Notamacropus eugenii: one gene and its partners. The protein of the gene in region 3 interacts with the protein of the main gene of each other region in a pairwise test. Links are inferred from orthologs where the notes say so. Each region holds a gene or a part of one and is shown on either strand. Other genes may lie near its edges.

The links. The genes of interacting proteins can lie anywhere in the genome.
Region 1: the proteins of PLEKHF2 (region 3) and ACY3 interact in binary tests that used the Homo sapiens proteins (3 or more experiments, as listed by UniProt). The two-hybrid records come from large-scale screens. The link is inferred for Notamacropus eugenii from reciprocal best matches to the Homo sapiens genes PLEKHF2 and ACY3.
Region 2: the proteins of PLEKHF2 (region 3) and MAX interact in binary tests that used the Homo sapiens proteins (3 or more experiments, as listed by UniProt). The two-hybrid records come from large-scale screens. The link is inferred for Notamacropus eugenii from reciprocal best matches to the Homo sapiens genes PLEKHF2 and MAX.

The regions. Positions count from the first base shown.
Region 1 is NC_092873.1:20,205,256-20,213,495, reverse strand, and holds the start of ACY3 (N-acyl-aromatic-L-amino acid amidohydrolase (carboxylate-forming)), read right to left. Parts: upstream 3,215-8,240; 5' UTR 3,118-3,214; intron 1-3,117. UniProt on the Homo sapiens protein: Plays an important role in deacetylating mercapturic acids in kidney proximal tubules. Also acts on N-acetyl-aromatic amino acids.
Region 2 is NC_092872.1:315,997,924-316,006,472, reverse strand, and holds the start of MAX (protein max), read right to left. Parts: upstream 3,215-8,549; 5' UTR 2,805-3,214; coding exon 2,769-2,804; intron 2,019-2,768; coding exon 1,992-2,018; intron 1-1,991. UniProt on the Homo sapiens protein: Transcription regulator. Forms a sequence-specific DNA-binding protein complex with MYC or MAD which recognizes the core sequence 5'-CAC[GA]TG-3'. The MYC:MAX complex is a transcriptional activator, whereas the MAD:MAX complex is a repressor.
Region 3 is NC_092875.1:157,845,600-157,853,751, reverse strand, and holds the start of PLEKHF2 (pleckstrin homology domain-containing family F member 2), read left to right. Parts: upstream 1-4,460; 5' UTR 4,461-4,599; intron 4,600-8,152. UniProt on the Homo sapiens protein: May play a role in early endosome fusion upstream of RAB5, hence regulating receptor trafficking and fluid-phase transport. Enhances cellular sensitivity to TNF-induced apoptosis.

The DNA of each region.
Region 1 (8,240 bases), on a different chromosome or scaffold from region 3:
CCCCACTTCGCTCAGGCCAGCTAAAAACCCTGAAGGGGGAAGTAATTGATCTGGCTTTGAGAGAGCAGGGCCAAAATCATCCTAAAGAAGAGCACTTTGAAAATCTTTTCCTTTTTAATTTAATCTTTAATTTTTTTAAGTGGAATTCACTGAATTTTTTTATGTTTTGAGTTCTAAATTCAATCCCTCCCCCTCCTCTCCCTGCTCTGTGCGATGATTAGCAATTTGATATAAATTACACCTGAGAAAGCATGTTAAACACTAGTCATTTTGGGGAAGAAAAATTCAAACAAAAAAAGAGAAAGAAAATGAAAAATAATATGCTTCAGTCTGTATTCAGACACCAACTGTTCCTTCTCTGGAGGTGGATAGCATTCTTTATCATGAGTTCATTGGGATTGTCTTGGATTATTGAGAATAGTGAAGTCATTCGCAGTTGTTCATTGGACAATATTTCTATTCCAGTGTTCTCCTGGTTCTGCGCACTTCATATTTCATGTAGGTCTTTCCTGAAATCGTCTTATTCATCATTTCTTCCATCACAACAAAATACCACAACTTGTTCATCCCCTCAATTTCCAATTCTTCATCATCACAAAAAGAGCTGCTATAAATATTTTTTGTACAAATAGGTTCTTTTCCATTCTTTTTTATGTCTTTGGGATGCAGACCTAATAGTGGTGGCTCAAAGGTTATATACAGTTTTCTTTGGGCATAGTTTCAAATTATTTTCCAGAATGGTTGGATCAGTTCACAACTTCACCAACAATTCATTAATGTTTCAGTTTCATGTCTCCTCCAACATTTGTCATTCTCCTTTTCTGTCACATTAACCAATCTGATAGGTATTGGTTGGTAACTCAGACTTTTTTATATGACTGTGGATAGCTTTGGTTTCTTTATCTGAAAAGTTTCTGTTCATTTTTTTGATCATTTGACCATTTATCAATTGAGGAATGACTTGTATTTTTATAAATTAGACTCAGCTCAAGAAATGAGGCCTTTATCAGAGATACTTGTAAAAGATTTTCCCCAGTTTTCTTCTTTCCTTTTAATTTTGGTTGCACTGTTTTTGTTTGTGTAGGGTCAGGGAGATGGGGCACAGATAGATGGTGGTGGGGAGAAGCATGTTGAAAAACGGGATAGAAGGACCTGTGGATAGAGGGACAAAGATCAGAGGATGGAAGGATAGAAGAATGAATAGACAGCAGCAGGAGGAAGAGGACAAAAGAAGGGAGGGGGAATGGAAAGATAAGATAGAGGATTAGCCAGTGGGGGAGTTATGGAGAGGGCACAGAAGGATGGGGAGTGGAAGGAAAAGGAGGTGGAGGAATGGGGATTGAGGGAAGAAGGACCAGGGGGCTGGGAGAATATAGGCCAGAGAAGGTCTGGCTCAGCATTGACCTGGACTCAGTGTGTCCAGCACTGGCTGCTCCCTCCCTGGCTGAGATTCCTTCTCTCTAGGATCCTTGTTCTTGAAGCTTCAAGTTTGAGAAGGGGACTTAAAGGTGGCTGTGTGTCTAGCAACTGCCCAAAGTTCACTCTGTTGTAAATACTAAAAAGTTAGGTTTCCATAAAATGTCGCAGTTTCAAGGTGGTGTAAAACAGCCAGCACCCACTGCCTTTCAGGAGAAGCAGTTAGCAAACTGCAGAGTTCTTGATCAAGGGGGCCAGACTTGAAACGAGCTTCACCAGCTGGAGTCAGTGACTGGGGGAAAGTTTTTCTTCACTGCACTTGCTTAATGAGTTCATCGCATATTAATCTGACACTTGCTGCATAGGATAAGAGTCTCTTTATCGGTACACTGGGGAGGGCATCATGACAAGGAGCTGCATGAAGTGGGAATGTAACCAGAAGGATCCCGACCAATCCTGTTCTGGAAGGGAGGGATATCTAACAGTTAAAGCTCTAAAGCTTGCTCTGGTTTCTGTATCAGTTCACTGCTCTCATGGTAGGGAATGCGCCCACTTCTTGCAAGGATCGCAATAAAAGACTCCACTTTTACTTCAAATTTTAGTTTTGTTATCAGGTCCCCAGATGTGAGCCTTACTCTAGATGGGGAGGGGCCTACTGGATGACAACTGGATCTTGACAAAGGCTGGGGAGACTTTGGCCCCAAGATCTGTTCTTCCTTCATTACTCAGTGACTAGGATCTGTCTCCTGCCAAGCTTGGATGGCTTCCACACTGCCTGAGCTGGATAGAAGTGAGCAGGTCAATGGAGAGTTGAGTTAAAGGGCAAGAAATGAGGACAGAGCAGAGCTTTTCTATTTCCCTGGGACCAGAACGTCTTTTCTAATCCCCCCCAAGAGAAGAGAAAATGTACCTGCTGTGGGAGGGGAAGCGGGGATTGGGCTGACTGCAAGTTTTTATATCCAACAAGAGAAAAGAAACAAAAAACCATCAAAGGGATAAAGGGAACAGTCCCTGATTGTTAAAAGAAAAGCACTTTGTGAGTCCCAAGGCCCTTAACCTTTTCAGTGCCCTCTCCAGCTAAGACTGAGCTGCAGAGAAAGTGCTCAGAAATATGGGGGGAGATGTTTCTTCCCTGAGAGAGGAAAAGGAGAAGGAGGAAGAAGAGATGGGGGAGAGGAGGAGGAAGAAGAGGAGAAGAGAAGGAAAAAGAGAAGCAGCAGAGGAGGGAGGGGGAGGAGAAGGAGGAGTTAACTGGATTTTCTAGGTAACTGCAGTTTCCCTGCAAGCCCTTTTTTAAAAAAAAAAAGCTTGATTCCTCCCTTCTGTTCTCCTGTTGAGGTGTAGGGTTGCTGAGAACCCTAAAATTCAATGACCAAAAGCCTTAAAAGAATTCAACTCAAGCCTCCTTTCTTTCAGAGGCAAGGTTTATTAAAACACTAGTTGAGGTGGTATATCGCCAAGGCAATATTCATAGTATGTGAATGGTATGTTGGCATAATTCTCATTTGCAAAGTATAACAGATTCTCCATATGGAAGCCAGAAGAAAAACATTTATTCAGACACCAGAAAGCCAAATCCCCAAACCAGAAAGCAAAATCAGTCATAGTAGCCAAGAAGTCAATACACATTGTCATAGCAGGGAGCAGTTATTGCCAAGTCTCCCTCCCTCCCAGCCTTCCCACAAACAAACGAACACTCACCAGCCTAGCTGTCTGCTTACTTTTGTCCTTCCCAGCTCTGACTAGCCTGATCAGCTTCCTCCCAGCTCTGCTCCACCTTTCCTATTCCACCCATTCAACAAGCTCCTCCCACCACATGTGATTTAGGCTTCCATGTGATTTAAGCAGGTCACATGGACCTATTAATGAATGAGAAAGATTTTCCCATTTAAATTACCATTACATTCGACCCCAAGAGCTTTTCTATTATGTAATATGTATTCATTACATAGGTTGGTGGGGCAACTGGTACGAACAGAATTGTAACAGGGATAACAGAAAATGAACATATAAAACAATAACTTAGGCAACTGATGCCAACAGAACCTTACAACAGTATAACAGGGATCACACAAAATAAGCACATAAAACAACATCTTAGGGTGGAACTTGAGCACAAGCACCTCATCATTCCCCCCTTGAATGAATGGGACCCAAAATCTTGGGATAAGGGGTTAAGGTCTCTTCTTCCATAGCTATTTTCTGCTAAGATTGGACGTAGAGCTTTCCCTGCCCCAAGAGGTCCCATTCAAGAGGTCAGTTCTTTAGCTGGCATCCAGAGCTTGGTCGATGCCAGGTCCAGGGGTGACACATCACAGTCATGGATAAGGGACAACATTTGGCTTAAGCAATCAGACATCGCAGGTGGGGGGTACTAAGCCTGCAGAAAACGAATCTAGCAAACAAATTTAATAGACAAAAAGCCAAAAAGAAACAAGGGGACAATAACCAAAAGCAGGGTAGATATAGGGTCAGTTGCACTTCTAGAGTCCATGAATCCACTATCATAGCCCTCATTCACAGTAGAATATGAGTCAAGGGTTCAATTTGATAATCATCTTCTCTTGAATAAACAATTATCTTTTTTATATGCTACATTTTCTGCAGCCTTTGGAACATTGTCTAGCTTCTGTTTTACCCATACTTTAGCTCCCAATTTTATTCTATCAGTAGAACCCAATCCTTCAGTTCCTCTGCTAGTTATTTTGGAGGGTGTATCAGTTTCCACAAGAGGTATTATTTCACAAAGAATAATAATCATTTGTACTATTCTATCATTTTTACAAGACCGTATGGATTCTTCACCTAAATTTTGGAATGTCACAATAATTTCTCCTTGATAAACTGGTTGGTTGTTGTTGTCCTTTGTTTTCGAAGACAACCAAAATGACATCACTGTGATAAAGTGAAATTTCAGTGGGTCTGACTGTGGCTGATCAGACCAATATGAATTCGGAATGCTCTACCACATTAGTCCTTGTAAATATCTGGGGTGGATATCCCAAATTTGCGCATCCTGAGTTTACTTTGTGCTGTCTCAATTCTGCTTTGCTCAAAGAGCACAGCACCTTTTCTGATGCGGGCATGCCATGCTGAGCAATCCTGTGCCAGTGTCTTCCATGTTGCACAGTCAAATTCAAAGTTCTTGAGAGAGAGACCTTGAGAGTGTCCTTGTATCATTTCTTCTGGCCATCATGTGATCACCTGCCCCATGTAAGTTCCCCATAAAATAATCTTTTTGGCAAGCATACATTTTGCATTCAAACAATATGGCTAGCTCATTGGAGTTGCGTTCTCTGAAGCATAGTTTGAATGCTTGGCAGTTCAGCTCGAGCAAGGACCTCAGTGTCTGATACCTTATCCTGCCAGGTGATCCTCAGAATCTTCCTTGATAAATTAGAATCTATCACTCCCCCCAATACATGAACTGCTAATTCAGATTTAGGTAATATCCATCCAAAATGATTTTGGGGGATTCTCATACATATTCCAGTAGATATTTTTATTATTTCTATCCAATCTAAAGTCCTCTAAACAATATAAACCACACACTGCCAAACCAGGTGTCCCTGGATACAGTGCTGGGACATCTGGCCTCACATTTCAATACTCAATATTTGGGATCTTATGTGTTTGTTGTTTTCTAATTTGAAGATTTGGACTCCTCATTCAGGCTAGAGGTATACTTCCTCCTAATGGTCTATTTTTCAAATTATGCAAAGCAGTGAACAAATTATCTTTCCAATGTTGAGAAGAATAATTAGAACTTAACTTACTTAACTGTTCTTTCTATAATCTGTTCATTCTTTCAATTAACCCAGATGCTTACGGATAATATAGAATATGATATATCCATTCTATTTTATTTAATACATAACATCTCTTCATTTCATTACCTTTGAAATGTGACCCATTGTCACTTTGGATCTGCATTGGGGTTCCGTAATACAGACTTATGATATCTAAAGCTTTACAGATGTTTTTCTGGGTTGGATTCTTATAGAGACAAGTCACTAGTGCACGTGAATAGGTGTCAACACAAGTACATATAAATTTGCATCCTTTATCTTGGGGTAGGGCTCCAATATAATCTATTTGCTAAATTTGGGCTGGTACTTTTTCCCTTGCTTTCTCTCCAGTTACTACCTGAGAAGCAGTTTGTTCCTTTCCAAATTTTATGTATATATATATATATATATATATATATATATATATATATATATATATATATATATATATATATATGTGTGTGTGTGTGTGTGTGTATGTGTGTGTGTGTGTATGTATGTATATATGTATATATGTGTATGTATGGATATATGCATATACATACATAGATACATTAATACACATTCCTCTGCTACTTGTTTCAACAATGAATGAGAGATACTAATACCTCAGTCTTGTGCCCACTGGTATGTGACCTGGACCCTTAAATGGCTGACTGTTTGATGGACTCATTTTGCTAGTACCTGTTGGGGGTGTAAGCTCAGTTCCATGTGGACAGTCTCGGGCAGGTAAAGGTGAGGACTTCTAAACCTTAGAGTTCTCATGAGGCCCTCCAGGGAACAGCTGGGAATTGAGGTGTGAGACCCGGGCTATCTCATGCATTTCCGCCTCTTCCCCATGGGAAACTTGCTGGGGAGAGCATCCCCGCCCCTGAGATTAACCCATGGTTTGAGCGCACCTATTGTTGTCTAAGGGCTGAGAACAGGCATGGTATTCAGGTGCAAACTATGCGGAGGGAGAGCTTAAGTAGGGTCAGGAAAGCCTGAAGGCGCTCTTAGTGCTGAGGGGCCCTTAGAGGACAGAAGGCCCCTCTTCCCTCTTCCCTCTCCCCTCTCCCACTTCCACTTCCATTCTCTTCTCTTACTGTAAGATCTTTGCCTCCTTGGGAAGAGGATTGCTCTCTCCTGAGGAAGAATTCCCCCTGCACATGTAACCAAGACCCTGAATAAAGCCTAACCCTTGTTTGACTCTGGAAAGTCTCTTCTCTCATACGTTTATCCAGTTTGGCCAGCCGAAGACCTGCGACAGGTAAGGAAAGACTTGGGTAGCCCTTAGGCCTCTAGGCCTGACAAGTACCGATCAGAGTAGATACAATATGTTGAGTGGCAATCTTTGCTAGTCCATCAACGTGTGCATTGTAGTCATGTTCTGGTGTGGTGAGGGCCATGTAAACCTCTACATGAAAAACTGACAATCACCTACCCAGCAAAACTGAGTATAATACTTCAGGGGAAAAATTGGTCTTTCAATGAAATAGAGGATTTTCAAGTATTCTTGATGAAAAGACCAGAGCTGAAAAGAAAATTTGACTTTCAAACACAAGAATGAAGAGAACCATGAAAAGGTGAACAGCAAAGAGAAGTCATAAGGGACTTACTAAAGTTGAACTGTTTACATTCCTACATGGAAAGACAATATTTCTAACTCTTGAAACATTTCAGTATCTGGGTACTGGGTGGGATTACACACACACACATGCACACACGCACACATACATAGAGACAGAGTGCACAGAGTGAATTGAAGAGGATGGGATCATATCTTAAAAAAAAAAATGAAATCAAGCAGTGAGAGAGAAATATATTGGGAGGAGAAAGGGAGAAATTGAATGGGGCAAATTATCTCTCATAAAAGAGGCAAGCAAAAGACTCATTAGTGGAGGGATAAAGAGGGGAGGTGAGAGAAAAACATGAAGTCTACTCTCATCACATTCCACTAAAGGAAAGAATAAAATGCACACTCATTTTGGTAGGAAAACCTATCTCACAATACAGGAAAGTGGGGGATAAGGGGACAAGCAGGGTGGGGGGGATGATAGAAGGGAGGGCATGGGGAGGAGAGTGCAATTCGAGGTCGACACTCATGGGGAGGGATAGGATCAAAAGAGAATAGAAGTAATGGGGGACAGGATAGGATGGAGGGAAATATAGTTAGCCCTATACAACACAACTATTACGGAAGTCATTTGCAAAACTACACAGATTTGGCCTATATTGAATTGCTTGCCTTCCAAAGGGAAGGGGTGGAGAGGGAGGGAGGTAAAGAAGTTGGAACTCAAAGTGTTAGGATCAACTGTTGAGTAATGTTCTTGCCACTAGGAAATAAGAAATACAGGTAAAGGGGTATAGAAAGCTATCTGGCCCTACAGGACAAAAGAGAAGATGGAGACAAGAGCAGAGAGGGATGATAGAAGAGAGAGCAGATTGGTCATAGGGGCAATTAGAATGCTTGGTGTTTGGGGGGAGGAGGGGATAAAAGGGGAGAAAATTTGTAACCCAAAATTTTGTGAAAATAAATGTTAAAAGTTAAATAAATAAATTTAATTAAAAAAAAAAAAAGAAAAGAAAAACTGACAAGTTAGTAACGAAAGACATGTCCCAAATATCTTCCCATAATTCTTTGCCCCAGACTTGTTTGCCACAAATTTCCCAATTTTGATTTTCTCACATGGGCATCCATGTAGCTAATCCATTAGCTACCACTCATGAATCAGTGAATACATGACACTGTTCTCCTTGTTCTGTTTTGATAGTTTGATGTACTGCCATAAGTTCAGCATATTGACTACTTTCACCTATCCCAGTACTTTCCAAAGTCTGCCTAGTACCAGTGTTATAGGCCACCACTTTCCAACATCTTTTGTGGCCCAAATATTTTGCTGTCCCATCAGTAAACCACACATGTCTCTTCTGTTCTTCAGTTAATCTACCACAGCCCTCATTCCATTTTACCAAGGACTGTACCAACTGTTGCTTTGGTTCAGGGAGTGTATCATTTCCCTCAGGATCTATGTTTGCTATTGATTCATGTAAAGC
Region 2 (8,549 bases), on a different chromosome or scaffold from region 3:
AGTCATTCTTCTGGGTTACTCAGACTGTTTTCTCTAGTCAAGCTTATTTTTTTTCCCTACCAATCAACGTCTTTATCTTTCGCATGGCTCCCAGAGAATTATTAAATTCAGTTTCACTTTCTCTTACAGTTAGTTTTATTTCCTACTTCATGTCAGTTTCTAAGGTCTCATGAAACAGGATTTTCACACCTGTAAAACTTAATATTCTCTAAGTAACTTTTAAAACTCTCACAATATGATCAAATTTTTTCCTGTTATTCCAGCTTGATTTTCCTTCAAAAGTCAAGGCCTAAAAATGGTTGCTTTATAATGGGAATTTCTTTCAGCTTAACAAAAAATGCCCAGGCCTTGAGTTTTGGAACACATGATAGGAAGGGGAATTCTTATTCCTCTACCAGGTCCTAATAGTTGTTTGTGATACTGAAAAACATGCTTGTAATACTGTTGTGATTACCTTGTGCAAGATGTCTGAAAGTCTCTGCAAGCCAAATTAAAAAGAAGCCAAAAAAAAAAAAAAATCAAAGGGATAAACTCTAGATATCTTAACACTTAACCAAAGATTAGATGTTAAGGTGCAGAGAAGTACATTTTAATCATTTCATGTCCATTTAAAATCAACACATCAATGATTTTAAAATGAAAAAGGGCTTGAAAAAGCAACTTTCTCTCAACAAAGAAAACTGTTTTTTTGCTGAAAGCCCATGACTAGTTGTTCTAAGTAAGAGTCTGGAAAAGACGTTCTTCAAGGGCTCTTTTGCCCTTCTTACCATCCTTCATTTGGGGGCCATTTTCAAATCGCATCAAGGGAATTCAGGAGAAAAGTGAAATATTTTTTAAAATTTTGCTTAAAAAAGTACAATGTTAAAGTGGATATACTGTTAAGAAGATTTACAACAAAAAATCCAAAATAAGGAATCTTTCAGTCCACTAAAATGAATTTTTGTTGTAACAAATGACAATCAGAAACAGTTTTTAGGTCTAATAAAATAATTACATCCTGAGATTTCTCTTAATATTGTTTAAATTCTTCTGAAGCCCCAGATCTCTGGAAAAGATTCTGAATCCCGGTTTGTTCTGTTAAATCAAGTCTTAACTCAGCAAGTTTCTCTTTTTAAAATAATTATTATTCCTTACTGCTTCCAAATGCAAACTATCAGGGACTCTGTTGTGCTTCATTTCCCTTTCCCACTCTAATCTCCTTTTCTCTTGTGCCCCACAAAAAGTCTCTTCTCCCCACCCCCTTCAAATTCACTGAACACTTCCAGGTTTCTATCAATTTAAACTACATATCTACATCCACGGAAGCAAGTATCAAATACATTAATACAGAAAACCAAAGAAATGATCTAACACATTTTCTTCTGTCTTGGCATGCCTTTCTTCCACACCAACTACAAAGCTTTTCCTCTTTAGTTTCAAAACCTACTTCAACCCATGGGTCTAGAGCAGTGACATTCTGCTACTGTTCCGGTATGTGCAACTTGTGGCTTCAATTTCTGCATTACATTCTGATGTAATACTGCTAAGCCCTTTAAAGAATACAGTATTCATATGGCTCTTCATTTCTGATAATCACATGTGCCTCCAAAGTAACAATGGTTTAAAAGCTATTTGTCTCCAAATATTCTCTAGGCTGCTTTGCCTTCAAATACTGACAACAACTGAATTCAGAGCTTCTTCCATTTCCTGAATCCAAACAGTGGTTCTACAGATCCCTTGGATTTGATCCCTCAAGAATGAGATCCTTTCCTATGGACAAAGCTCCTCCCACTCACTCAGCCTCAATGGAACCTAACACCTGACAATCTAGAATGATGAAGTTTGCAACCCTTCTCCCCATCTAGAACCCCCGACGTAGGTCCCCACCTCACCTCCAGCATTTCACAGTGCAGTTTACCATCATAACATTGAAAGTAACAGAACTCTCTCTGACCCCGAAAAGGATTAGAACTGAACGGAAATGAAAATGAAATGGAGAGAAGGAGACGTACCGCAGATTGAAACCTCGGTTGCTCTTCCTGGAATAAGAGAGAGAAAAATAGAAAATATAGAAGTTATTTTTACGCTTCACATTCAAAAATAAGAAAGAAAATGCCGGCGGTGAAGGAAGCAGGGGATGGGGAGTGAGCCCGACCCTCCTCCCTTCCCCCCAGCCGGGGATCCCGTGCTGGGCTGGGGGTGGGGGGCGTGTGTCTTGTGCGCCGCCCTTTCTTCCGGGATCCAGCCCAGCCAAAGGGGATGCGCTGGGGGGAAGGGGTCCTGAATGCCCCCGTTCGTCAGCCCATGCCAAGGGCCTTCTGGGCACCCTAACTCCCCCCCTCCCCCAATAGATAAAGGAAGAGGGATCTTGAACGGGTGGGGGGGGGTCGGAGGAAGGGGCCTGAGCACAGTCCCCGTTCCCTGGATCTGGACAATGGGCTGCGGAGTGTACCCCCATCCCGGCACCGGGCGGGGGGATCAGGGAGGGGGGTAGACTGGCCCTGGTGAGGCTGCCCCCCCCGCGGGGGTGAGATGAGGGAAGAGTTGGGGGGAAGGGAGGATTCCCCAAGGCCACTCCTCCCCATCCGGACTCCAGAGGCCGTGGTGGCCGGGCGAGTGAGGAAAGTGCCCGGACCGAGACGGCGACGGCGGACCCGTCTACGGAGGGGAAGGGCGAGGAGGAAGCGGCCCGGCCTCTGCACGCCGCACCCCCGTCCGGTTCCGTCTCTGGCCTCTGGCCCCGACCCCCAAACAGACACACACGGGAAGGAAGAAACCCCGGGACTCACGTCGCTCTCCACCTCGATGTCATCGTTATCGCTCATTTCCTACGGCCCAGGGAGCGGCCACTGCAGCGGCGGCTGGGAAAGGGGGAGGGGTGGAGGGGAGGGGGAAGTCAGGGACAACAACAAGCCGGGCCGTACACGCTGGCTCGCTCGCTCACTCACTCCCTCACTCACTCCCTCACTCACACACACATTCACACACACATTCACACACACACACATACACACACACACTCACACACAACAAGGCTAGAACCACCTCCTCACTGCAGCACCGGATCAACGGCGGCACGCACGCCCGGCCCACCCCGCCCACGTGACCGGTCTCCGCCGCGCAAGGGCCGCTGAGACTTGGAGTCCACCCCTCTTCAGCCGCCCAAGGACCGAAGGTCCAGGAAGAACTACAAATCCCGTTAGGCACGATCAACACTCAGAGCCTCTCCGGCTTGTTGATGAGAACAAGAGCGCCTGCGTGTCCCGCGGAGGAGGGAGGGAGAAAGGGGAGTGTGAAGCCTTCTGGGAATTGTAGTACTCGGCGTGGTGGGGGTGTGGAGCGAGTTGTCAGGAGGTTTTTCTCCCAGGGCAGCCGTAGAGGCTGCTGGGTAAGGAGAGGACACGTGGAGGCTGCTGGAGCTCCGGGAGTGGAGTGGGGTGTCTGGGCACGCACGCTTTGCTGGGCAGTAGGCCTGCGGGAGAGGGTGGGGAAACCTCTCACGCACGCAGCGCGGCGCAAGGGCGTCCTAATTATCTCACATCTCTGTGGTTTTATAATTGGCCTTCTCCCCTGACTCACCGGCCACGTGTTGCAGTCATCTAGGTGTCACCCTGGGTTGGGGCTGCAGGGAGGAACTCTACGGAAGGGAGAACCCGGCTAGCCATAGCCTGTTTGTCCCTAGGATTTAGAGCCTGGGCAGAGGCGTTAACCATTGTAGGTGAGAACTGCAGCCCGGAAGTGGGAGCCTTCTGTCTCAGACCCAGAATCGCTGGTCCTGGGAGCCTGAGGCTGTGTGCGTCTTTACTGTTTCCGGTGTGTCCCAGGAGGTCCCAGAATGTTACAGTCTCCGTGAAATCCGTCCAGTTTTAAAATACACTGAAAGGAAATGACCACCTTTTAATTTTTAGGACACCTAAAGGGAGGAAAGCGGCAAATAAAGCTTGGCCCAAGGTGAGAAGTGGAAACTGATACTGGGTCATTTGGAAAGACCCTGATGCCAAGGCCTTTCTTGAACTCCCTCTCTCCCCCAACCCAGTATTTTATACACGCTTTATATTGCTTAAGTACCTGTTGTATCTCTCCAGTAGTGTGTAAACTCCTTGAGTTCAGGGAAGGACTGTTTAATTTTTGTCTTAGCATCCCCAGCAGCCCCTAGAACCTAATAGGTGTCTTTCAGGGGTCAGAATTGGAACCCTGAATAGGGTTAAATAATAATTTAAATTTAAATAATTTAAATTTTAAAAATTAAATTACTAAATTAATACATTTTACTTATAAAATTATTTGTAAAGTGAGAAAGTAGCTTGAAGGACCATGGTGTAGTGGCAGGAGTCGAGCTATGGAGTCCAATGATGTGGTTTTGAAAATTACTTTCAAACCTTACCTGTATGATTCCTTAAATGAAAAATGGAGGGATTGAACTAAGTAACATCTGAAGTCTCTTCCACCTCTGAATATATATAGTACCGTGATCTGCCATCTTTTCATTCCAGAGGATTCATCTGAATCCAGAATCTGTGATTCCAAATTCAGTGCCTTTGCTGCTGTGACATGGCAATGTGTTTGATACATTTAATTTAACAAATACTTTATTAAATCTTGTGCATATTCATTCGTTTTTCAGTCATATCTGACTTCGTGACATCATTTGGGGTTTTCTTGACAAAGATACTGGATTGATTAGCCATTTCCTTCCCTAGCTCATTTTACAGATGAGGAGCTGAGGCAATCAGGGTTAAGTGACTTGCCCAGGGTCACACAGCTAATAAGCTAAGTGTCTGTGGCCAAATTTGAACTCAGGAAGATGTCTTCCTGACTCCAGGCGTGGCACTCTATCCACTGTGTCACCTTATTAAATATTAACATATACAAAAGCTAAACAGTCCTTCAGGCTCACATGGTTCTACCAAACTTTCCCCCAAATGGAGCTATTTTAATAATAATAGCTAACATTTACACTCTTATGATTAAATATGACCAGGAACGTTTATGTCTAAGCCAGAGTCACACAGCCATACACTAAGCCTCCTAGTAGCTTCCCAAATACATTAAATGCTTTAAAATATATGATTGATCTACCACTATCCATGGAGACAGCAACTTGACTCAGCACTTTCTCCCAAGTGATTGTTTTCTCCATTTTATAACTGACTTCTCAGTTTTTTTAAAGTGTCTAAATCTCACCTTTCTCCAAACTGTTCAACGGTATTTGATCTCATCATTAAATGAAAGGCTAGAAGAGCAAAGATCCCAAAGCATGAGATCATAAAATTATTTCAGGGATGGCAACCTAATTAATCAGAACTAGATATATTTTTAAGGTTTTTTTTTTTTTTTAACACTAGTAGTGTTAGAACCTTCTGTAATGAAATGACAGGTCCAGACCCTCCCCTGTAAAAACAAGTAAATCCTTCAACATTTATGGAAAGAGTGAATAGGAATATCAGTTCAGACTAACCTGGCTTTATCATCTGGTGTAACATGAACCTCCATCAAAGCCCCACTTGTGTGTTTCATTCTGGTGTGGAAGTGGCACTGGATTCTCAAAGTTATGCCAACCTAGTACAAGATCTAGAAGGTCTTGTCAAGTTGGAAATGTTTCAGCTACAGGATTGATTAAAGACATGATATACTTACTGTATAAAAAGCAGACTAGCTTGGAGCTTTGGAGAAGCTTGCAACCAAATGGTTGACCTAGTATTGATTTTTTTGGCCACAGGAACCTGCTAAATCACCTAAGTTATAGAGGAATTTGATCTTCAAAAGTAGGAGAAATAGTGAGATGGCTGAAATCACAAATCCCTGAAATTTTGAAGTAAGTAGACTGTGAATGGTGAGTGTTATCTATCAAATTGATAAGTAATATTTAAATAACACTTGAAAGTATGAAGAATGCATCTCCTACCTCATTTCATTTGATCCTTAGTCACAGAAGTAAATAATGCAAATAATTTCCTCCAATTTACAGAGGAGGAAACTAAATCTTAGGTAAAGTGACTTATCTGAAGTCTCACAACTAGTAAGTGTCAGAGGCAGAATTTGAGCCTACAGCTTCTCTGACTTCAAATCTTGCTCTCTGCTCCACTATACTGCCGGTTCATACTAGGCTCCCAGATTAAATAGATATTTTGTTGTGTACTTATGCTTCGTTATGGTTTTTTTTTTTTTTTTTGGACCAGCAAACCATTATTCATCAGGATAATATCTGTACTTTATAATTATATCTGCCTTTTGAACTAGACATTTCTACTCTAACATGCCCAAGTGATAAATCACTGATGTCATATTTAGTTTTATGATTGACAAGGGCTCCTTGTTTGTTTTAAACCTGTGGTGTTTCAAAGACCTCACTGACAAGTTATCCTCTCCTAGAAGGCCAAGGTGGGAATATAGAGATTATGTTGTCTCCTGAAGTACTCAGTTTCCTCCCAGTTAGAGCTTGCTTATATGACTTAAGGTTCACCTGGTTGATGTGGAATTAACATTCATGTGGTAGATGAGTAATATATCCTCCAGAAGCCCAAGAGGCTATTTCCTTAACACAGTGATACTATACCAGGGTGCTTGATAGTGGTGCAGATCTCTGCTAATGCTTTTCTGTGAAGACTGTTTTTTGGCATACGTGCCTGAGAATTTTTTGGTCAGTGTGGAGAGCATGAGAAAGCTTCAAGACCTAGTTTATTCTCAACCTCAGTTGGAGTCCTTAAAGTTACTTATTTGGCTCTTATGTTAAAAATAATTTGTTTTGTGACAAAAATACCAACAAAAGGTGTGAAATCAGTTCATTTAAACTGCTTTATTGATACCTTTATAATCTTTTATTAATAACTTTATAACAATCTTTTTTTACTCATCCCTCTAGATTAAACCCAACATTGCAAAACAACCCCCAAACAACCCAATTAAACAGAAACATTTGTGTTATCCCAATTGTTCCTCCACCTTTCTGCCATAATTAAGGAGGTTCTTCTTTGGGAAGTTTGTTAATTTTTTTTAATTGATGCTTTTTATCTTTACATGATAGTCACTTTCCTTCCTCTCCTCCAGATGGAACCCTACCTTTTTGATAAAGAAAAACAGGTAAAAACATCCAGTAAGAAAGTCGTGCCTGATAATAAATAAAATATCCTAATTTAATAGTCACCTTCCTCTCTGCTTTGAGGAAGGAGGTATGCAACATTGTCTTTTCTCCAACACCTTCATTTTTAATGAAAAATATTTATTATGAACTTATAAATCATCAATAAACATAAATATTTCAATATACAGAGAACAGAAAAGAGGATTGTATATGGAACTGGCTTCTGTTTTGTCCAGTTCATTTGAAGTATATGAAAATTTTAAATTAAAATTTTTTTTGTTATTCTATACTTGCCATACTCCAATTAACATAAGCATTTCCATATGCAAAGAAAAATAAATGAAGAAAATTGTGTGTAAAACCATAAATCTCCATTGCAAATAACAAATTCAGTGTGTTAATTTTAAAGCTGTTTTGCTAGTCTACACCTCCCTCTATGTATGATATTTTTTCCCATGTGTGAGACCCTTTTTTCATTTCTTGTTTTTGAGCATCATTATCAGTAGGCCTTCCCCCCCACACCCTGTCTGTCCTCCATTAAAAAAAAAAACAAAACTCAACACCCTGTCTCGTGGCAAACAAGCATAGTTCTCTATGCAAAGCAAATATACACATTGGTCAAAATGTTCTCATACGTGTATATCGTTCTGCATCTCTCCCCTTCATCAGCCCTTTGTTATGGATTGCATGCTTTATCATTAATCTTAGGGAGTCATGAGGGGTTAGGTTTGTAAGTCTTTAAAACTTTTTTTTTTTTTTTTTTTTTTTTTACAATTTTACAGTCACTATATAAATTGTTCTTCTGGTTTTGGTCATTTCACTTTTATCAGTTTATCCAAGTCTTCCCAAATTTTTCTTTTGTCATTTCTTATCACACAATAGTATTCCATTAGGGTCAAATAGTTGTTACAGCACAAAGGGTGCTGGGCCCAGAATTAGGAAGATAGGAATTCAAATTTTTTTTCAGACACTTAATTGGGCAAGTCACTAAACCTCTGTCTGCCTCAGTTTCCTCAGCTGTAAAATGGAGATAATAGCACCTACCTTGAAAGGTTATTGTGAGGATCAAATAAGATAATATTTATAAAAACCCTTAGCCTGATACCTTATATAAATGTTAGCTAGTAGTAACAGTAGTAGTAGTAGTAGTAGTAGTAGTAGTAGTAGTAGTAGTAGTAGTAGTAGTAATAGAAGAAGAAGTGACAGGTACTTAGTAGGCACAATTTAATGCCTATTCCCTTTCCCTTCTCATTATAGTCATATGCTATGACTTGTTTCCTAACTGATGGTTATTCCCTTAGTTTGCTGTTATTTGCTACAGAAAGAAGTAATATTATAAATATTTCTGTATGTATAGGTCCTTTCCTTTCATCTTTTGAGGGAATCAGCCTAGTAGTGGTTGTGTTTGTCCTTTGTTCTCGAAGAGAACCTTGACATCTAGATGATGACATGACTTGCAGTTGACTTTGATTCGAGTGAGGGAGGTCTG
Region 3 (8,152 bases):
TGGGAGGGCAAATGGGAGGAGGGAGTAATTAGAAGCAAATACTTTTGGGGAGGAACAAGGTTAAAAGAGAGAATAAATGGAAGGCAGGATAGGATCGAGGGAAATATAGTTAGACTTACACAACATGACGATTATGGAAGTCTTTTGCAAAGCTGTACATGTATAGCCTATATCGAATTGCCTGCCTTCACAGTGGGGATGGGTAGGGAAGTAGGAAGGGAGAAAAGTTGGAACTGAAAGTTTTAGGAATGAATGTTGAGAATTGTTTTTGCATGCAAATGGGAAATAAGAAATATAGATAATGGGATATTGAAATCTATCTTGCCCTACAAGACAAGACAGAAGATGAGGATAAGGGAAGGGAGAGGTGTGATAGAAGGGAGGGCAGATTGGGGAAGGGGTAATCAGAATGCACGGCATTTTGGGGTGAGGGAGGGGAGAGATGGGGAGACAATTTGGAACTCAAAATTTTGTGGAAAGGAATGTTGAAAACTAAAAATAATGAACATTAAAAAAAAGAAAAAGAAAAAAGAAAGAATTCACTGATCACCTCCTGAAAGAGATTCCAAAAGGAAAACTCCTAGGAATATTGTAGCCAAATTCCAGAGTTCCCAGGTCAAGGAGAAAATATTACCAGTAGTCAGAAATAAACAATTCAAGTATTGTGGAAATTCAATCTGGATAACATAGCAGCTTCTACAGTAAGTGATCAAAGGGCTTGGAATATGATGTTCCAGAGGTCAAAAAAAGCTAGGATTAAAACCAAGAAACATCTACCCAGAAAAACTGAGTGTAGTACTTCAGGGGAAAAAACAGAATTTCAATGAAATAGAGGAGTTCTTATTTGTATCCTTAGTGCTTTGTATAGTGTTTATGAAATGGAACTGAATCTCAAACTTTACATGTCCAGACCAAAACTCATTATTTTCCCCAAACCTACTCTTCCTAACTTCCTTAGTTCTATAAGTAGTTCCGTTATCCAGCTTGAAAACCTTGGAAGTACCTTTGGTTTTTCAGTTTCCCTCACACCTGATATCCCATTAGTGTGGCCCATGCTGGAGTTAGGAAGAACTGAGTTCAAATCTGACCTCAGACACTAACTTATATGATCCTGGGTAAATCACTAACTTCTGCTTATCTCTGATTCCTCATCTGCAAAATAGGGATAATAATAGCACTTACCTCCCAGGGTTGTTGTAAAGATCAAATGATAATTATAAAGTACATAGCACAGTGCCTGGCACACAGTAAATACCACAAACATTATCTCTTCTTTTGATTATTCTCATTATGCCTTGTTGATTCTACCTCCATAGCATCTTGGATGTATCTCCTCTCCACTTACACTTATGGTTCCATGGACTATTTTGATAGCCTCCTAACTAGTCTTGCTTCCAATCTCTCTCTGTTACTACCCCATTAGCCACAAAGCTGCCAAACTGATATTTCTAAACCATAAGTCTGATGGTTTCAATCCAATGCTGAAGAAACTCTTGTGGTTCCCTCTTGACTCTAGGATAAAATACAAAGCCCTTGACATTTCGACTCTACCCTACCTCTTACTTTACATTAATCCCTTCACATACTTTAGATTCAGATCAAACTGGCCTATTCATTACTTGAACACTTTGATTTATGCCAGGAACTCTACCCTTATTCTAAATCTTGGAGTCCTTAGTGGCTTTAAAGGCTCAGCCTGTGCCACCCCCTAGCCCACATAGCCAGATTCCTCTGAGTGCTACTGTCCTTTCCCCCACCAATTGCTTTGTTTTTAGTAAGTCAGTCAACAAACATTTCATGCTTATTATGTGCCTAGCACTGCGCTGAGTGATGGAAATGCAAATAAAACCAGAGTCCCTGCTTCTCAAGGAGTGTTCCAATAGAGGAAGACAACACATAAAAGGGAGCTGGAACGGGAGAAGAAGGAATCCCGGGATGCATGGTAGAAAATGTCCAGTGGATGTGAGTGCAGCCTGAAGAGGGGATGAAGACATTTTTGGCCTGAATCTCTTCTTTATATTGGTGGTTCTGAGAGGAACTGGCCAATCAGCAGATGAGGACATAGGGATGGAGGCTGCTTCTAGTGTGAAGAGGTTTCTATGGCCTGCAGTGGTGAGTCAGTGATGCAGTACATTCTGTATTTATTGCTGAGTACGTCTTGTTTCCTTCAAGAAAATATAAGCTTTTCAAGGCGAGGTTCTGTTCCATTTTTGTCTTTATATGCACAGTGTCTGGCTCGGAGTAAATGCTTAATAAATGTTATTGAATGAATTAATGAAGTTAATTGTATATATTTTAGTTTCTCCGGCTCAATAGTAAATTCCTTGAGGTATTTTTATGTATTTCCTTGGTATTTACCTATTACAGTGGAGCTCAGTCAAAGCTTGTTGAATGAATCAACTCAGTTCCTAAATGGTTTAACAATGAATAATACAAATGGCATTATATTTTTCGGGTGAGGAAAAGAGGTTAGTTGAGACCAGAAAACATTTTATAAGATTTACGACTGCTTTGAAGCAGCGTGGCTGTATCCTGGATGGAGATCATACTGGAGGAAGACCTGAATTCAAACACAACTCTGATTGATTCTTGAAGAGGACCAAAATGACACCATCATGATAAAGTCAAGTTTCTGTGGCTGATCAGACCAATACTAGCTGGGAACGCTCTACCACAGATATCCCGTGTGAATATTTGGGGTGGATACTCCAAATTTGCACATCCTATGTTTCCTTTGAGTTACTTCAATTCTGCTTTGCTCATGCAGCACAGCACCCTTTCTGGTGCGGGCATACCATGCTGAGCGCTCCTGTGCCAGTGTCTCCCATGTCCCACAATCAATTCCAGTTCACACTTGAGAGTGTCCTTGTATCACCAACGTTACAGAACAAGGGCTGATATGCATTGGTAGAAGTTTTTCCCCAAGGAGGTCCCTCCCTAATACAGGTGAAATGAAAGGTGGGGGCACAAGTCAATTATTTAAATATAACGCCTGGTTTTTCTCCAATCCCTTCATTTTACAGATAAGAAAAGTGAGGCCAAGACTAAGTGACTCACTTAAGGCCACAGAGGTAAGTAGCAGAGTTAGAATTTGAACCCAGGCCTTTCTCCCTCCATATCCAGACCACTTTCCACTTAACTTTGTCATTTCACTGAATCAGCAAATGGAAAAGGCCCTAAAAGGGCCCGCTCCCATCTCTGGATCGCCCATTAATGTGGAGAAAGGAGAAGAAATGACCAAGGCATGTGAGAACCTCTTTCTACAAGACCTTTGCAGGAGTCAATACCTTCCTTTCCTTCTGCAGGCCAATATTTTTCATTTGGGGGAACACCTAAGGGCAAGGAGGTGGCACAGTATGCAGGGCACCTGGCCTGGAGGCAGAAGACCTGAGTTCAGATTCAGCCAAAGACACTTACTAGCTGTGTGACCCCATCTCAGGTTCCCCATCTATAGAATGAGCTGTAGAAGGAAATGGCAAACCACTCCAGTATCTCTGCCAAGAAAGCCCCGTGGGCCACAACAGCCCAGGAACTGATTTGGCAGACAAACAGATGAGGACCCAGAGAAAGAAAGGCTAACCCACGTGCCCAAAGGCACCAGGTTCCATAAACAGCGAGCAGGTCCGACCTGTGACCAGGTAGGCATTTATGTGTGCCAGGCACCCCTCGGGCACAGCACGCCGCCCAGGGCGCAGGCTTTCCTTTCTTGCCTCCCCTTTTCAAAGAGAACGTATCCTGGTACTAACCATCCTTTCCGCAGCGCTTTAATACCTCATTGTATCCCCCTACCAGCCTTGGAAGGTAGGAGCTATTATGATCGGTCCCGGGTTTTACAAAGGAGGAAACTGAGGAAGGGTTGACGCGCGGCCCGCCGCGCCGCAGCCAGAAGGTGCCCGAGACAGGACTCGATCTCCAGGCTTCCGGGCGGCGGGCGCCGCGGCTCCATGAAGTGCCCACTGTGTGCCAGGGTCTGTGGCGCACTAGGCCTGGGCCCCACGCTCGGCCAGGGCACCTTCTACTATCGCTTTTACAGGCGGTACCAGGAGACCCACCGGCACACCACCTACGTTAGGAAGAAAGGCACAAGCCCCGCCCCAAATGGCGTCGGGACCCTCCCTTCCTCGCTCTCGTCCAACCCCACCCTTTGCAGGCCTAGGGGTGGGCGGGGACTCCGCGGCTCGCCCCGCCCCCCGCGCCTCGAGGGCGGGGTGGGTGTGCTCTGAAGTTGTCGCGCACGCGCCGCTGTGGAGGAGGCGGTTGAGGCCGTAGTTGACTGGAGAAGGAGGTGGCGGCGGCGGCGGCGGCGGGGGGCGGGGGAGTCTTGGGAGAGGCTGTGAAGAGTCACCTGTGAACGAAGGGCCGCCCGCTGCGCTCCTGGCTCGGCGGGTCCGGATCGGGGTCGGCTTCGAGCGGGGGCCCGGGCGGCGGCTGCGGCGCCTCCTCCTCCTCCGCGGAAGCCCCTCGCACCGTCGGAGAAGGGCTCGCGCTGCTCCCGGGGGAGGGCGGCCGGGCGGGGACGCCGCCAGCCGCCGGCCGCTCTCAGCCCCTGCTACCGGGAAGCTTTCGAGCCTCGCTGACTGCCGCCGGGCGTCCGGCCGGGTAGGTGCCTCCGGCGGCCGCGAAGAGAAACTTTCCGAGCTCTTCCTCCGGCGCGGGGAGCCGTGGTCCTCCCCCCTCCCGGGCGGCGGCGGCGGCGGTGTCGGCCGACGCCATGTTGGGGTCTGGGGAAAACGGGGCTCCCGGCTCCCTCGCCGCGCCTCGGGTCGGGCGCGCGGGAGCCCTGCCTGTCGTGGGGCCGGGGACCACGGGCCGAGGGGAGGGGGTCGGCCACCGAGGCTTCCGCCCTCCCTAACCCACCTCGGCGCCTCGGGTCCGGCCCCGGACCTCCGGCTCCCCGCGGTGGAGGCCCGAGCGCGCGCCCCGGGACCCGAGGCCGGGGAGCCGATCTCAGCCGGGTCGGAAAGAAGTGGCCCCGGCGTGGCCGGGGCGGGGGGGCGGACGCCTCCGTCCAGGAGTCGGCTCGTTGGCGCCCCGGGGTCTCTCCGAGGCCGATGGTGGTTCCCCGACTTGATTTCTTTGGAGGCTTTTAAAACTCAGGGTGTTGTTTGCCAGGCTCTGCCCTATTCCTGTTGTACGTTTGACTGTAGAGGAGCGTACAGATTGCGATTAACCAGGGACATTACCTGTATATTTTTGCTGCATATTATTGCAAATTACGTTAAAATGATAGTTGGGTTTTTTCTTATACAGTCGGAGATAGCCTAAAGACATTTAGACAAAAAAATCAGCATGTGTAGACCTGTCGTCCTCGAAATAAAGTGAAGCGAGTTAAACACCGACAAGTAATTTTTCACTAGTTCTGGGAGCTGCGTGTGTACCGCATTCCTAGTTCAGTATATTTGCCCCTGTTGTGGCCTTTGGTCTCTTTATAGGGAGTTGAGGTTATTCAGCATTACGAAACCCTGGGTTAATTTTTCCTTCGGAAGGCGCTGACAACGATGGGATAAAACTATATTAAACATTACCTTTGTATTAAACGATACTTACCATCAGTCACCAATTTGCTTAAAAATAAAAAAAAACCCAACTGAAATAGGATATTTAAATAGGGTAATAACACTTAAGGATTTAAGTATCCTTAGAAATAATCCCTAAGAAACAAGTGGTCATAGAGACATGGAAAGTAGGGGAAGAAGCCATCTGGATCTGGTCCAACTCCTCATTTTACAGATGAAGAAGCTGACCTGGGAAGGTTGCAGCTTGCCCAAAGTCTCAAAGACGGAAGGCAGAATTTTAATTTAGGTCCTCTAATTCCATAACCATTGCTCTTTCCATTGTTCTACACAACCTGATGTACTGAATGAAAATTTTTTTAAGGCATCATTTTGATCAGAAATGTGTTGCAGTTCACCAGAGTTTTGAGAATGAAATTGTTTGCTCTTTTTTCGTGTATGTGTTATCTTTAACTGAATCTTAGTATCTCACAGTAGTTATATTTAGAAGGTTGTGGAATGAAATGATTGACCTTTGAAACTCTTGTCACTCTGTGTGTTAAATACACTTAATAGTTTTTTCCCTTTTCACTCTGTCCAATTGCTTCAAGATTTGTGTCCACAGTAGTATGAAAATCAGCTACCAAGTATTAGAGCCCCTTCTTTAAATGCAGACCCTTTTCCTAAGATGCTCAGTTGAAAGACCAAAGGTAGGATGCCAGATCCTGGAGTGAAATGATTGAGAACTTTTAAAAAACCTAATTACATGAATTAGTATGTCAATAGGGCATAGCCACAATGGCATTTCTTAATCAAGTCCTGATAGTATTTGTGTCCCTCTGTCTTTTCCATGAAATGGATGAAATCAAAGCTAAAAGAGGGCCATCAGTGATGAATACCAGGAGTCTGAATGGTGATGTCCTTACTAAGTACAGCTCAGTTTTAAAGAGTTAAATACAAATATTCACACTAACTTGAAAAAAATTGGGCAATGACTGGGACAAGGCCTGTAATGCCATGCTTTCTAATGAATAAGATTGTTTTTGTATTACTGCTGTAAATCCATATTTTTTTGTATAGATAACAGGCTGAACTTTACTATTATTATTGTTGAGGACTAGAAGAGACCTTTGATTTCATTGATATCATGAACTCCTGTGTGAGAAAATGCCTTCTCTTAAAGCGGGTAGACACCTTCTCTGAAACATAAGAGTATAATAGAGTTGCCTAGATTCACAAAGTAAGTGTGTTAGAGACAGAATTTATATCCAGGTATTCTTGGCTTCAAGACTGACTATCTCTTCTTCTGTCTCTCTTTACCAGTATTGGAAATGAATAAATCAGACATACATACATAGATTTTTGACCATGTGACCCACTGTTGAAAAAACAAAACAACTGAGGACATCTCTGCTCTAGGACTTGATAGATTCTTCATCCTATAGAATGTGCTTCCATTTGTTAACCATATTTTACCTTTTCACAGCCTTACTGAAAACCCATCTTTCCTGATTGAAATCAATTCTCCCTAAACGTGTTTTAGTTTACTTATTAATCCTCATCTCCTTGAACATAGGAGATATATCTTGTCTGTATGAGGAATCCTTAATACTGAATACTATGAACTCAGTGAAATACCATTAGCTTTCTTCCAAAGTTGTTTTAAATGCATAGACATACTCAGTCTATTTGGAAACTTTCAGAAGACTAATTTGGAATTTCTTTGGATGACTTGGTGATTCAATATTAAATTGCAGTTACTTAAATATTTGTAGAAGTCTTGTAGGTATCAAGGAAGGTGTGGTTACTTAAACTCAACTCTACACCACTAACAAGGGAAATAGCGGATCTCCATAATGATTGTATAGACATCCCTCACTAAATTTGCCCTAGCCAACTTCATTTCATAATTCTATACTTAGGAAATAATCAACCTAACAGTGTTGCTATAACGGAGACATCAGATAATCAGATGATCAAGTCACTCTGTACCCTCTGGAGAGTAGCCTGTTTGGAGTTTTTAATAATAATAAGCCTAATCAGAAATGGTAGCTTTAAGACTTGGGGGAGGGGGGGTGAGAAGCTTATCAAATCTTGGAGGGGTATCACCCCTTGGGCTGTTGGAGTAGGGCTCCCATCCTAATTGTCAGGGACATCAGAAAGAGGCATGTGTGGCACAGCTCATTCTTACCGTTACTTAGTACCTAGAACAGTGCTTTAGTAAAAATGCTGGTTGAATTGAATGTATTGAATTTTTGAGTTAGTCATGTATTGAATGTTTTAGTTATGTATTAGAATGTATTGAATTTCTGAATTAGTCATATGAAAGATAGTAGTAGATGTTTCATTAAAGCAGTTGTAGAATGAGCTAGAAGGAATACAGTTTTACAAACTAAAGAGAAGAAATACTTTGAAAGGCATGTGAAGTTATAGTCTTCAACAATGCAAAGTAGCCACTGATAGATAGTAGTAGTGACAGTAATAGATTCTCACATTCTGTTCAGTGATAGAATCACCAGAAAGTTATGACTTAAATTGGACAGAATTCAAAGATAGGCTACGTAAATCTACTGAAACAGTTCTTGATGAAAAGGCGAGTTAAATTATTGGTTATTGTAGAAGGAACAAGTGTGACCCTTATACATTGATCATGTGTAGTT